2 linked regions of the Anolis sagrei genome follow. The protein of the gene in region 1 purifies or fractionates together with the protein of each later gene. This does not show direct contact. Links are inferred from orthologs where the notes say so. Each region holds a gene or a part of one and is shown on either strand. Other genes may lie near its edges.

The links.
Region 2: the proteins of VAMP5 (region 1) and STX12 purify together in Homo sapiens (affinity purification with mass spectrometry; 3 studies listed by BioGRID and IntAct, with this or other methods). This does not show direct contact. The link is inferred for Anolis sagrei from reciprocal best matches to the Homo sapiens genes VAMP5 and STX12.

The regions. Positions count from the first base shown.
Region 1 is NC_090027.1:22,924,904-22,932,413, forward strand, and holds the start of VAMP5 (vesicle-associated membrane protein 5), read left to right. Parts: upstream 1-4,454; 5' UTR 4,455-4,653; coding exon 4,654-4,656; intron 4,657-7,510. UniProt on the Homo sapiens protein: May participate in trafficking events that are associated with myogenesis, such as myoblast fusion and/or GLUT4 trafficking.
Region 2 is NC_090034.1:86,897,631-86,905,860, forward strand, and holds the start of STX12 (syntaxin-12), read left to right. Parts: upstream 1-5,073; 5' UTR 5,074-5,212; coding exon 5,213-5,321; intron 5,322-8,230. UniProt on the Homo sapiens protein: SNARE promoting fusion of transport vesicles with target membranes. Together with SNARE STX6, promotes movement of vesicles from endosomes to the cell membrane, and may therefore function in the endocytic recycling pathway.

The sequences.
Region 1 (7,510 bases):
TCTGCCACCAGACTTTCTAGGCAGATAGAGCTGGTCAACATCACTGCGAGGATGTAGTGAATTATGAATGGTCATGAGTTTTCTTGTTTTTCTGTCCAAATTGTCCAGTTCTGCCTGTGTCCAGTTTATGATGTCAACAGTATATCTTATGACAGGTATGGCCCAGGTATTTATGGCCTTGATGGTATTGCCTCCACTGAGCTTGCTTTTGAGAATTTTTCTGACCCTTTGAATGTATTCTTTGCTGACCATGTTCATGTTTGATGTTGTCCAGCCGTAGTATGCCCAGATATTTATAGGCCTCTGGCTGGTGACACTTGATCGCTTGGCCATTGGGAATATTATAAAGTATTATTATTATTATTATTATTATTATTATTATTATTACTATTATTATGGTCAAAGGACATTTAGTACAATGCCAAGTTTTTTATCTTTGTGTTTTTAAATATATTACAACTGTACCCTCGGTTTGCTTCTGATGTGATAAATGTTGTTGTTGTTGTTGTTGTTTCCTGCTCTTGAGTGAGATCTAAACGAGGCTCACTGAGCGCACAACTGGTAACCTTGAACTCGGTGAGAACAGCAATTTAAAAAGGCCATAAAATTGTGTTTTCTGTTGAATAGAATGCACTCAGAGCTGTTTTGCAAACTCAAACCTGTTTCTTTCTGCTGTGGAAAATCACAACCGACTCCTTTTTTGAGCTGGGAGGGCCCTAAATTCACTGGGAGCAGCAAAGTCCATAAAAAGACAATGAGAAAAATTGGTCCTTCACGTCACATAGCTTTTAAACCAGTGGTTCTCAACCTGGGGGTTGCGACCCCTAGGGGGGTCATTAGACCATTTTGGGGGGTCGCGAAGCTGCCTTGGTTGGCCCCAGCCCTGCTAAAATAGCTACTGACCCTTGCCATTTGGGCAAGGGAGAGCTGCCCAGCACCCGTGCCGTTCCGAGTTCGGAAGGGCGCGGGGGCCAGGCGTAGGACTACCCACACGGCCTTGCCATTTGGGCAGCCTTTCTGCCCGGCCCCCCGCACACCCTTCCGAGCTCTTTGATGGCAGGGGAGCTATACATCACAGTAGCTCCCAAATGCCAAGATCTATTCACCTCAAACTCCACCAGTATTCACATTTGGGCATATTGAGTATCCGTACCAAGTTAGGTCCATATCCATCGTTGTTTGAGTCCATAGTGCTTTATGGAGGTAGGTGAACTACAACTCCAAAACTCAAGGTCAATGCCCACCAAACCCTTCTAGTATTTTCTGTTGGTCATGGGGGTTTTGTGTGCCAAGTTTGGACCAATTCCATCATTGGTGGAGTTCAGAATGTGCTTTGTTTGCAGATGAACTATAAATCCCAGCAACTGCAACTCCCAAATGTCAAGGTCTATTTCCCCCAAAGTCCACCAGTGTTCAAATTGGGGCATATTGAGTATTTGTGCCAAGTTTGGTCCAGATCAGAGGCGGCCCTAGGTAATTCCCAACGGTAAGCAAACAGGTCCTTGTGGGTTTTTTCGGGCTATAGGACCATGTTCTAGAGGCATTTCTCCTGACGTTTCGCCTGCATCTATGGCAAGCATCCTCAGAGGTAGTGAGGTCTGTTGGAATTAGGACAATGGGTTTATATATCTGTGGAATGGCTGGGGTGGGGCAAAGAGCTTTTCTCTGCTGGAGCTAGGTGTGAATGTTTCAACTGACCACCTTCATTAGCATTTGAAGGCTTGGCTGAGCCTGGGAAAATCTTTTGTTGAGAGGTGTTAAGATGTACCTGGTTGTTTCCTCTCTGCTGTTTTGCTGTTGTAATTTTAGAGTTTTTAAATAGAGTTTTTAAATATTTTTTTAAAAGCAAACAGTATTTTGCCCCCCCCCCCCCCAACCAATCACTGATATATATTTTCTGTTCGTTGTGGGAGTTCTGCATGCCATATTTGGTTCAATTCCATCATTGGTGGAGTTCAGAATGCTCTTTGATTGTAGGTGAACTATACATCCCAGTAACTACAACTCGCATATGTCAAGGTCTGTTTTCCCCCAAGAGCGCCTCAACAGCGCCCCTGGGCAAAATCAACTATACTGTAAATGCTTACTTTGCGTAATGGGTTGAGCAGCCCCTGGTCCAGATCCATCTGCAATACTCTCTGAATGCAGATGAACTACAACTCCAAAACTCAAGGTCAATGCTCAACAAACCCTTCCAGTATTTTTCGTTGGTCGTGGGAGTTCTGTGTGCCAAGTTTGGTCCCATTCCTTCATTGGTGGAGTTCAAAATGCTCTTTGATTGTAGGTGAACTATAAATCCCAGCAACCACAACTCCCAAATGACATAATGAATTCTCCCTCCAACCCCAACAGTATTCAAATTTGGGCATATTGGGTAAGATAAGGTAAAAGTTTTCCCCTGACATTAAGTCCAGTCGTGTTCAACTCTGGCAGTTGGTGGTCAATTTCTAGGCCAAAGAGCCGGTGTTGTCCATAGACACCTCCAAGGTCATGTGGCTGACATGACGGCATGGAGCGCTGTGGTTGGGTATTTGTGCCAAATTTGGTCCAGTGAATGAAAATACATCCTGCATTTCAGATATTTAAATTATGATTCATAACAGCGACACAATTACAATTAGGAAGTAACAATAATAATAATTTTATGGTTGGGGGTCACCACAACGTGAGGCACTGTATTAAGGGGTCGCGGAAGCAGGGAGGCATCAAGAAAGGAAACAAGGGGCCCCCAAACAGGAAGGAAAAGAGGAAGAGGAAGCGCAAGGGAGCCAAAAGGAAAGAGGAACAGGATGCCCTGCAAAGGAAACAATAGCCTCTTTTGACAAGTGACTTTTCCATTCTGCTATTTCTAGCACAGCTATGTTTACATATATCTAACCTTTCTTAGGCCCCTTCTTCACTGCCATATTAAATCCAGATTGTCTGCTTTGAATTGGATTATATGGCAGTGTAGACTCATATAATCCAGTTCAATGCAGTTAATCTGGATTAACTGCTTTGATAATCTGGATTATATGGCAGTGTAGACTCATATAATCCAGTTCAATGCAGATAATCCGGATTAACTGCTTTGATAATCTGGATTTTTATGACAGTGTAGACTCATATAATCCAGTTCAATGCAATTAATCTGGATTAACTGGAGCCCCCGGTGGTGTAGTGGATTAAACCCCTGTGCTGGCAGGACTGAAGACTGACAGGTCGCAGGTTCAAATCCGGGGAGAGCGCTGATGAGCTCCCTCTGTCAGCTCCACCTCCTCATGCGGGGACATGAGAGAAGCCTCCCACAAGGATGATAAAACATCAAAACATCCCCTGGGCAACATCCTTGCAGATGGCCAATTCTCTCACACCAAAAGCGACTTGCAGTTTCTCAAGTCACTCCTGACATGACAAAAAAAATCTGGATTAATTTCTTTGATAATCTGGATTATATTGCAGCGTAGACTCATATAATCCAGTTCAATGCAGATTTTCTGGATTAACTGCTTTGATAATCTGGATTATATGGCAGCGTAGACTCATATAATTAAGTTCAATTCAGATAATCTGGATGAAGTGGTTTGATGATATGGATTTTATGGCAATGTAGACTCATATAATCTAGTTCAATGCAGATAATCTGGATTAATTGCTTTGATAATCTGGATTATATGGCACTGTAGACTCATATAATCAAGTTCAATGCACATAATCTGGATTAACTGCTTTGATAATCTGGATTATATGGCACTGTAGACTCATATAATCAAGTTCAATGCAGATAATCTGGATTAACTGCTTTGATAATCTGGATTATATGGCACTGTAGACTCATATAATCAAGTTCAATGCAGATAATCTGGATTAACTGCTTTGATAATCTTAATTTTATGGCAGTGTAGACTCATATAATCCAGTTCAATGCAGATAATCTGGATTAACTGTTTTGATAATATGTATTTTATGGCCGCGTAGACTCATATAATCCAGTTCAATGCAGATAATATGGATTAACTGCTTTGATAATCTGGATTTCATGGCAGTGTAGACTCGTATAATCCAGTTCAAAGCAGATGATCTGGATTGACTGCTTTGCTAATCTGGATTTTACGGCAGTGTAGACTCATATAATCCAGTTCAAAGCAGATAATCTGGATTAACTGCTTTGATGATATAGATTTTATGGCAATGTAGACTCATATAATCCAGTTCAAAGCAAATAATCTGGATGATCTGGTTTTACTCTAGTTTTCCAGTGAATATTTCCTCTAGTTTCAACCAATGCAACATAGTCTGTGCAACTAAAACAAAGTTTCAAAATTAAGGACTGTACCATGAAACAGGAAATAACACCTTCAAACCAGGAACAGACCCCTTTCCCAACAATTCTGTTACTTCATCGTGGAATCATTACAACCTAGAGTGGGAAGGGAACCCCCAAGGCCATCCAGTCGGGCCCCTTCCTGCCATAGAGGAAGACACAGTCCGAGCCCTCCCTACAGACGGCCATCCAGCCTCTCGGGAGAAAGCCCTCCTTCCCGAGGGAAGCAAGGGGAGGGTCCAAGCAACGAAGGAGGGCGAAGGGGGCGGACTCAGGAGGAGACTGAGGAGGAGGAGGAGGAGGAGGAAGGAGGACGGAGGACCTTCAGTCTCTTCGCCTCCGGAGCAGCCATGGTGAGTGTTGCTATGATTGCAGAGGCTGGATGGCCATCTGTCGGGAGGGTTTTGATGGTGTTTCATGACAGAAAGAAGAGAGTCAGGCTGGGTGGCCCTTGGGGTCCCTTCCACCTCTAGTATTCTATTATTATTATTATTAGTAGTAGTAGTAGTAGTAGTAGTAGTATGCAGAGGATGAATGGCCATCTGTCAGGAGGGTTTTGATGGTGTTTCATGACAGAAAGAAGAAAGTCAGGCTGGGTGGCCCTTGGGGTCCCTTCCACCTCTAGTATTCTATTATTATTATTATTATTATTAGTAGTAGTAGTAGTAGTAGTAGTAGTATGCAGAGGATAAATGGCCATCTGTCCGTAGGGTTTTGTTGGTGCTTTTCTTGCATAATGGCACAAAGAAGGGTGTTGGGTGGATGACCTTTGGGAGTCTCTTCCAACTCTAGCCTTCTATGATGATGATGATGATGATGCAGAGGCTGAATGGCCATCTGTCAGGAGGGTTTTGATTATGCTTTTCCTGCATAATGGCAGAAAGAATGGGGTTGGGATGGGTGGACCTTGGGGTCCCTTCCAATTCTAGTATTCTATTATTATTATTAGCAGTAGTAGTAGTATTATGCAGAGGATGGATGGCCATCTGTCAGTAAGGTTTTGTTGGTGCTTTTCCTACATAATGGCACAAAGAAGGGTGTTGGGTGTATGACCTTTGGGAGTCCCTTCCAACTCTAGTCTTCTATTATTATTATTGGTATTATTATTATTATTATTATTATTATTATTATTATTATTATTATGCAGGCTGGATGGACATGTCCGGAGGGTTTTGATGGTTCTTTTCCTGCATAATGGCAGAAAGAAGCATCTTAGGATGTGTGGCCTTTGGGGTCCTTTACAACTCTAGGATATTATTATTATTACTACTATTATTATTATTATGCGGAGACTGGATGGCCATCTGTCAGAAGGGTTTTGATGGTGCCTTTCCTGCATAATGGCAGAAAAAAAGGGGTTGGTCTGGATGCCCCTGGGGTCCCTTCCAACTCTAGCATTCTATGATATAGATTTCAGACACAGGCTGGTGCCAGGAGAGCTTTGATTGTGTTTTTCCTGCATAATGGCTTATTATTATTATTATTATTATTATGAATGGCAGAAGGGGGTTCTGCTGGAAGGCTCTTGAGGGGGTGACTTTTCCAACTGTAGGATTGTACAGTTCTATTATTATTATTATTATTATTATTATTATTATTATTATTTACACAACCTTATTATAATCATCATCAGTATGCAGAGGCTGAATGGCCATCAGTTGGGAGGGTTTTAATCATCCTTTTCCTGCATAATGGCAGAAAGAAGGATGGGATGGGTGGCCCTTCAGGTCCCTCCCAAAACTAGCATTCTATTATTATTATTATTATTATTATTATTATTATTTAGACTGGATGGCCATCTATTGGGAGGATTTTACTTCCTTGTAGATTGGGATTAAACTAGATATCTCCTGGGGTCCCTTCCAACTCTAAGATTCTGTAGTTCTATTATTATTATTATTATTATTATTATTATTATTATTATTATTATTACTGTTGTTAATGCAGAGGCTGAATGGCCATCTCTCAGGAGGGTTTTGATTGTGGTTCCATTGTAGATTGGGTGTTGGAGTAGATGTTCCCTGCGTGTCCCTTCCAATTCTAAGATTCGATAGTTCTATTATTATTACTATTATTATTTCTTCAGAGGTTGGATGGCCATCTGTCAGGAAAGTTTTGATTGTGCTTTTATTCCATTGTAGATTCGGGTTGGACTAGATGTCCCCTGGGTGTCCCTTCCAACTCTTTGATTCTATAGTACTATTATTATTACTCTTATTATTTATACAGAGGCTGGATGGCCATCTGTCAGGAAGGTTTTGATTGTGCTTTTATTCCATTGTAGATTGGAGTTGGACTAGATGTCCCCTGAGGTCCCTTCCAACTCTAGGATTCTATAGTTCTATTTTTACTACTATTACTATTATGGGCATCTGTTGGGAAGGTTTTGATTATGCTTTCCTGTCTGGCAGAAGTGGGTTAGAGTGGATGACCTTTGGGGACCCCTTCCGACTCTCGGATTCTCGGACTCCCATCTTCCTCAGCCTGGAAGACTAGAAATATGGTTGGGCAAGGCAGGGGCCTTCTCCAGCCCAAGGGATTTTCACTTTCCTTTTCTAGTAACTAGATCAGGGTTATTGCCAGGCATGTTTCAAATAGGAACTTGCATCAGATCAATCCAACCGTTTTGTTATCTCAATAATTCCAATGTGCCATCCAGAAAGAACAAAGTACAACATGAGGAATGAATGCGGTTTGGCCCCACTTGCAGCTCCTCTGGCTCAGTGCGATGGGATCCTGGGAGTTGTCCTTTGCAGAGAAGATGAAAAATCCTGTAAGACTGCAACTCCCATTATTCTGCAGACTTTGGGTTATTACTCATAGGAAAATTGGATCCCAACAGCTTTGTTCATAAAGCTATTGTCTTCCCAACCCTGCTATACACCTGCGAGATGTGGACTGTCCACAGACATCACACGCAACTCCTAGAACGATTCCATCAGCACTGCCTCCAGAAAATCCTGCAGATCTCTTGGAAAGACAAGCAGACAAATGCTAGCATCCTGGAAGAAGCAAAGACCACCAGCATTGAAGCGATGGTCCTCTGCCATCAACTCCGCTGGACCGGCCACGTTGTCCGGATGCCCGACCACCGTCTCCCAAAGCAGTTGCTCTACTCCAAACTCAAGAATGGAAAATGGAATGTTGGAGGACGGGAAAAGAAATTTATAGATGGGCTCAAAGCCAACCTTTAAAACTCTGGCATAG
Region 2 (8,230 bases), on another chromosome or scaffold:
GGGAGCATTTACAGCATTTCACTATATTACTAGCAGAAAATAGCAAAGACTTGGAACTATTACTGAAGAAAGTGAAAGACGTTAGTGCAAAGGTAGGTTTACAGTGGAACGCAAAAAATAAAACAACCACAGATGATCTACATATCTTTAAAGTAGATTATGAAGATGTTTCAATAGTTCAAGATTTTCCACACCTTGGCTCAGTCATTAATCAGAATGGATAATACGGGGGGGGGGGGGGGGGGGGCAGAAAGCTAGGACTTGGAAGGGCAGCTATGAAAGAACTAGACAAGATCCTTCAGTTTCAAGATACATCACTGAATACTAAACCTAAGATTGCCCATGCCATAGCATTTTCCATTTCTATGTACAGCTGTGAAAGCTAGATAGTGATAAAAGCTAATAGGAAGAAAATCCGCTCCTTTGAAATGTGCTTGAGAATAGTTTTACAGATAGCAGATTGCTCAAAAAAAAAGGCAAATGAATGCGTGCTAATCAAGTCTGAACTCTTCCTAAAAGCCTGGATTACTAAACTGAGAATGTCGGTACTTTGGCCATATAATGAAAAGATATGACTCACTAGAAAAGACGGTAAGATAGTACAAAAAGAAGAAGACCGCATTCCAGCCCGATAGACTCAAGCAAAGAAGCCACAGACTTGAGTTTGCAAGAGCCGAGCAGGGCTGTTGATCATATGACGTATTGTCGAAGACTTTCATGGCCGGAATCACTGGGTTTTTGTGAGTTTTCCAGGCTGTGTGGCCATGTTCCAGAAGCATTCTCTCCTGACGTTTCACCTGCATCTCTGGCAGGCATCCTCAGAGTGTTCTTACCATACATCAAGGGAACCACTGACCACACAGGGAAGCTGATGAAGAAACACAACTTACAAACTAGCTACAGAACCACTAAGAAAATCCAACAAATGCTACATTCAGCAAAGGACAAGAGGAATCCTCTCACCTCTACAGGAGTCTACCTCAGGCAGTAAGAAGCCAGACCCTGAAACTGCTAGTCCATTAAATGCGCTCAAACACAAATCAAGGAACATGAAAGGCACTGCAGACTACTTCAACCAGACAAGTCAGCCATGGCAGAGCACTTGATGAACCAACTTGGACACAGCATATTATTTGAGAACACAGAAATGCTGGACCACTCTAAAAACCACCATGTCAGACTACACAGAGAAGTCACTGAAATCCACAAGCATGTTGACAATTTCAACCGAAAAGAGGAAACCAGGAAAATTAACAAAATCTGGCTACCAGTATTAAAAAACTCTAAAATCAGGATAGTAAATAAAAAAACAACACTCAAAAACAGGGGAATTTCAGACAAGAAACAATCAGGGCCGGCTATTTACCTCCCAACAAAAGAGTCCCCCAGGCAGTAAGAAGCCAGACCTTGAAACTGCTAGACCATTAAGTGCTAATCAAGGTGGTCAATTGCAATATTCACACCTATCTCAAACAGTCAAGAGTTCTTTCTCCCACCCTGGATACATTCCACAGATATATAAACCCAATTTTCCTAGTTTACAGCAGACCTCTCAACCTCTGAGGACGCTTGCCATAGATGCAGATTAATGTCAGGAGAGAATGCTTCTGGAACATGGCCATGGAGCCCGGAAAACTCATAACAACCCAGTCATATGACAACTTGTGGGTCTTTCATTTATATGGTTACATAAGTTGAAATCAACTTAGATTAGAAAGACGTTCCTGGTCAGTCAGTCAGAAGAACTATACAGGCAGTCTCCAAGTTACAAGCAAGATAGAGTCTGTAGGTTTGTTCTTAAGTTGAATTTGAATGTAAGTTAGAAAAGGTACATTTTTAAAGTGCTACTCCAGCCAAAAATCTATATTTTCTTTTTGCTCTGAATAGCATAGGGAAGGGTTAACACTCCTGTGGTGTTTTGCTATCTGTGCCCCAGTTTAGAAGATTTCACCTCACTTTCGGTCCCTGTGATAATTGGAATTTGAAAAAAAAAAAGAGCCTATTGTGGAAATAAGGATTGGCGATAAAGCTTCAGTGGAGGCACATCCCCCCCCCCCCCCCCCCATAACTTTAGGAATGAATGTCCCTTCCTAGGGGCAGATTTCTCTCACTTCCTGTTATCTCACCCGAGTTCTTCACTATGAGTTGCTTGTAAGTCAGAAGAATGCAACTCAAGGACTGCCTATAGAATACTATACTATAGGCGATCACTCATGGTCTAGTCTTCCAACAGTAGAGCCTTGGCAAAGAGTCCATAAGTGACTTTGAAGACCTATTCTAGATCCACAGCTTAACAAAACACCTGCAAGTGCTAGAGATGTATACTGCTGGACTGACTTGTTGGCAAGAATCAAGGCAGCTACCTGCATATTTCAAATTTTTATGCATTGATGAAAGCCTGAACTTTAGAATGCAATCAGTTCACTGCTGAAGTGATAGTAGTGTACATATTAGAACAAGCCCTAGTTATTTTTAGAGATGATTTTATTTCTCACATGTAGGTAGTAGCTTTCTTAAGCCAATGCATACTCTTGGAACCTGCTTCTGCTGTTCTGAAACTAGCAAGCACATGAAAATAAACACAAGAAAGGAAGTACACTTAACCCTTTTCAGATGTGCACAAACTTTCAGAGGCTGCTGCTGCCCTCTGCTGCTTGATTCCTTTCGAAATGAAATTCTCCAACTGCAATGCTAAATAGGCAGCATGATGTAGTGCAGGGGTCCTCAAACTTTTTAAACAGAGGGCCAGGTCACAGTCCCTCAAACTGTTGGAGGGCCAGATTATAATTTGGGGGAAAAAACATGAATGGATTCCTATGCACAATGCACATATCTTATGTGTAGTGCAAAAAACACTTTAAAACAATTAAATAATTAAAATGAAGAACAATTTTATCAAATATAAACTTACTAGTATTTCAATGGGAAGTGTGGGCCCATTGAAATACTAGTTGTTGTTGTTGTTGTGTGCTTTCAAGTCATTTCAGACTTAGGTTGACCATGAGCGAGGGCTGGGTAAATGACCTTGGAGGACCGTATTCGGCTCTCGGGCCCTAGTTTGAGGACCCCTGGTGTAGTGGTATGATCACTAGAGTATAACTCTGAAAATCAAGGTTCAAATCTCCACTCAAGGCCCTTCCAGACAGATCCTATATCCCAGGAACTGATACCAGGTTTTATGTTTAATCCTGATTATCTGCCAGTGTGGACTCATATAATCCAGTTTAAAGCAGAAAACCTGGGATCAGATCCTAGGATATAGGGTCTGCCTGGATGGGCCTGCTCGGTAACTTCGGGAAAGTTGCACCCCCTCAGCATCAGAAGAAGTACTTAAGTAAAATTAAGTAAACAAAATTTCTATTCCACCCTATCTCCCTATGGGGACTCAGGGTGTCTCACAACATAAAAGGAAAACATTTAATGTTGTACAATACAAAAATAGACTTAAACAATTCAAAATAAACAAAACAGAGAATTTGACAGTAAATCACATGTAAACGATAACAATAAATTACCCGCAACCAGAGAAACGTTGACCTCCACTGATGATGGACCTGGACCAGCATTGAAGCAATGGTCCTCCACCATCAACTCCGCTGGACCGGCCATGTTGTCCGGATGCCTGACCACTGTCTCCCAAAGCAGTTGCTCTACTCTGAACTCAAGAACGGAAAATGGAATGTTGGTGGGCAGGAAAAAAGATTTAAAGATGGGCTCAAAGCCAACCACAAAAACCTGGCATAGATACTGAGAACTGGGAAGCCCTGGCCCTTGAGTGCTCCAGCTGGAGGTCAGCTGTGACCAGCAGTGCTGCAGAATTTGAAGAGGCACAAATGGAGGGCGAAGGAGAGAAATGTGCCAAGAGGAAGGCACGTCAAGCCAACCCCGACTGGGACCGCCTTCCACCTGGAAACCAATGCCCTCACTGCGGGAGATGATGCAGATCAAGAATAGGGCTCCACAGTCACCTACGGACCCACCCTGGATGATTATCCTACTTGGACAACGAGGGATCGCTTAAGTAAGTAAGTACTTATGGAGTTTCTCGGGGTTAACCAGGCATGATAGAATCATAGAGCTGGAAGAGACCTCATGGGCCATCCAGTCCAACCCCCTGCCAAGAAGCAGGAAAATCGCATTCAAAGCACCCCTGACAGATGGCCATCCAGCCTCTGTTTAAAAGCTTCCAAAGAAGGAGCCTCTACCACACTCCGAGGCAGAGAGTTCCACTGCTGAACGGCTCTCACAGTCATTAAGTTTATTTATTTATTTACGACATTTATATGCCGTCCTTCTCACTTCCTCATGTTCAGATGTCTCCTCTCTGCCTTCTCTTCTTCAGGCTAAACATGCCCAGCTCCTTAAGCCGCTCCTCATAGGGCTTGTTCTCCAGACCCTTGATCATTTTAGTCGCCCTCTTCCTCTGGACAAATTCCAGCTTGTCAACATCTCCCTTCAAGTTTGGTGCCCAGAATTGGACACAATATTCCAGGTGTGGTCTAACCAGGCAGAATAGAGCATGGGGAGCATGACTTCCTTAGATCTAGACACTAGGCTCCTCTTGATACAGGCCAAAATCCCATTGGCTTTTTTGCCACTACATGACATTGTTGGCTCATGTTTAACTTGTTGTCCACGAGGACTCCAAGATCTTTTTCACACGTCCTGCTCCCAATCCAGGCCTCATCGTCCCCCATTCTGTATCTTTACATTTCGTTTTTCTGCCTAAGTCAGGAAGTTCTTCCTAACGTTCAGATGGAATCTCTTTTTTTGTAGTGGGTCTCCTTTCTTGATGTGAGTTGTAGTTCACCTATAATCTTATGCATTTGGCACAATTAAAAACTGACTTTTTCAAATAATCCAGCCAACGCCCAAACTAGTATATTTAAAAAAAAAACATGACCAGGCTCTAAAATCAGAAATGACTCCAGGCCGCAACACTGCGTTGCTATGGCAACCAGGAAGCGCTCCCGCGTCAGGCACCCGGCGCGACGCATGCGCACATGTCTCCTCCTCCACTGCCCGTCACGCCCTCAGCCTAAGCCCTGCGACTTAAGCGGTCACTTCCGGGTTTATTTTGTGCGCCTGCGCGGAGAGGGGAAGAGCCAGGCCTTCGTTCTGCGCGTGCGTCGCGGTCAAGGTGGTGGCTGCCCGGCTTGGCTCTTCTTCTTCGATTTCGGCGCTTCTGGTTTCGTGAGCTCCCGCTTCAACCATGTCTTACGGGCCGTTGGAGACTTACAGGCCCGGGGGCTTTCCGCCCCGGGATTTCAACGCTATCATCCAGATCTGCAGCACCAATGTCCAGCGCCTGGCACAGAGCAGTGAGTCTATGGGACTAAGATGCAGCTTATATTTAAATGCCTAAACACTATACAAGGCATGGGCCAACTTGGGCCTTCCGGGTGTTTTGGACTTCAACTCCCACCATTCCTCACAGCCTCAGGCCCTTTCCTTTCCCCCCTCAGCCGCTTAAGCGGCTGAGGGGGGAAAGGAAAGGGCCTGAGGCTGTGAGGAATGGTGGGAGTTGAAGTCCAAAACACCTGGAAGGCCCAAGTTGGCCCATGCCTGCACTATACCACGTAGCTACACTGATGGTTTCCTCTCATCACCAAAAAGTTCCTACTACAGGCTCCCTTCTGTTCCCAGACCAATCCTTGGATGGTTCAAAAAGTTAGTTTCAGCTGCTCTTGCAAGGTGCCTAGTGAGTGAGCAAATGAGCTTCGGCTATTCATGCAAGATGCTTAGTAGTAATAATAATAATAGTTTTAGTTTTATTTCTTGTTTGCCTCTTCTCACAAGCTCAAGGGGGGGGGGGGTTACAGCTTTACTAAAATGTAAACACATATTATTAATCTGTATAAATAAAAATGTAACCACCATGTCAGACTACACAGAGAAGCCGTTGAAATCCACAAGCATGTGGACAATTTCAACAGAAAGGAGGAAACCATGAAAAATGAACAAAATCTGGCTACCAATATTAAAAAAAACTCTAAAATTACAACAGCAAAACAACAGAGAGTAAACAATCAGGCACATATTAACACCTCTCAACAGGGGATTTTCCCAGGCTCAGCCAGGCCTTCAAATGCTAATGAAGGTGATCAGTTGAAACATTCACACCTAGCTCCAGCAGGGAAGAGCTCCTTGCCCCACCCCAGCCATTCCACAGATATGTAAACCCATTGTCCTAATTCCAACAGACCTCACTACCTCTGAGGATGCTTACCATAGATGCAGGCGAAACATCAGGAGAAATGCCTCTAGAACATGGCCCTATAGCTCGAAAAAAACCTACAAGAACCTATTCACACCTAGCTCCAGCAGACAAGAGTCCTTTGTCCCAACCTGGTCATTCCACAGATATATAAACCCATTTTCCTAGTTCCAACAGACCTCACTACCTCTGAGGATGCTTGCCACAGATGCAGGCAAAACATCAGGAGAGAATGCCTCTAGACCATGGCCATATAGCCCGGAAAAACCTACAACAACCGAATATAATGTTCGTTTGTGGGATTGACATAACTCAAAAACCACTGGACGAATTGACACCAAATGTGGATACAAGACACCTCTCAGGTCAACGAGTGACCATCACTCATAAAAACACCGAAAAGCACAATGGGAGAGACTAAAGGCCAAAAAAACCCACATTAGAACGCATGCGCAAAACCACATATATACACATATACACAAATATATACACACACAAAACACATATACACATTCTGGGCCCAACACAACGCGTGGCAGGGGGCGGCTAGTTAAATCAACAAATTAACAACACAAAGTCAATATAAAGTGAAAACAAACATATTAAATTGACACCAAACCATCATCCATCAATAAAACAATAATTATGTTGTTTAAAACCCATTAAAACATCTCAGTCACTGGTCTGGTTAAATAAAGATAATAAAATCCAGTTAAAAGTTGTTTCCATTAAATCAACCGCTGGATGTTATTATATTTAATGGTGCTCCATGCAGTCATGCTGGCCACATTACTTTGGAGGTGTCTACGGACAATGCCAGCTCTTTGGCTTAAAAATGGAGATGAGCACCAACCTCCAGAGTCGGACACAACTAGACTTAATGTCAAGGGGAAACCTTTGTCATTTTATTGCCATAAGCCTGTTTATAAAGCCAGGCTTTCAATTCCTTCTGGAACATCAAAGCATAGAAGCTTGCCTGATCTCCCTGAGGAGGGTGTTCCAGAGCTAGTGGGCTACTACCGAGAAGGCCCTCTCCTTCATCCCCACCAACTGCGCTTGTGATGGAGGTGGGACTATGAGAAGACCCCCCTCCCCCAAAGCAAATCTTAAAGTCTGAACAGAGATGTGGTTGCATAAATAGTCAGGACCCAAACCGTATAGGGCTTTATAGGTAATAATCTGCAATTTGAATTGGGCCCAGAAACATATAGGCAGCCAATGGAGCTGCTTATCCAAGTCCTCAGTCTAGCTTGGAGGTCTGTTGTAGACCTCAGCAACACTCATTTAGTTTCTTTTCCACTTTATTTTTCCCCAGATACACTCAACCTGGCTTCCAAGATTTGATAAACTCCTGCCTATGCAAATACTCTCCTAGATAACTCCGCTTAAAGCCCTTCTCGTCAAATGTGCGAGGCTCCTAGCAAAAAACATTTCTACCAACCTCTGGGAGGTGGAAGTCATCCTTTGCCAGAAGTCCAACTTTATTAAACCTCAGACCAGGAAGTCAATTTGTTTCTATTGGCACTATCTGCAAATACAGTTATTCGCTTCTGTTATCCTTCTCTCCCTTCCTGGGTCACAGCCTTGAACTGGGAGAACAGATGAAATTATGACCTCAAGATCCTTCGTTTTCCTACCCATAGCCTCATAATCCTATGTGATCTACCCAAGGCTCGGCCTTGCATTGCCATTGGTTCCCACAGGCACCAAAATGATCTGTTGGATTGACAGGCTTTGTCAGCCTGTGTTTTGTAATCATTATCTTTACAATAGCAAGAGAGGTTTTTTTAATTCTCTGAATTTGACTATATTTCATTCATTGAAAGACAACTTTGTGTTGCATCAAATAATTCAACACATTGGGAAGTGTGTTGGCTAGTAAAATTGCATTTTGAAATACTTTGCACATTACCGAAATTGAAGCCAATGCAATCTATTCAGATAAGCATAGTTTCTATCAGAATATGAGTTGAGACATATTTTCTTAGCAGCACCTGCTTCATGGATAACATG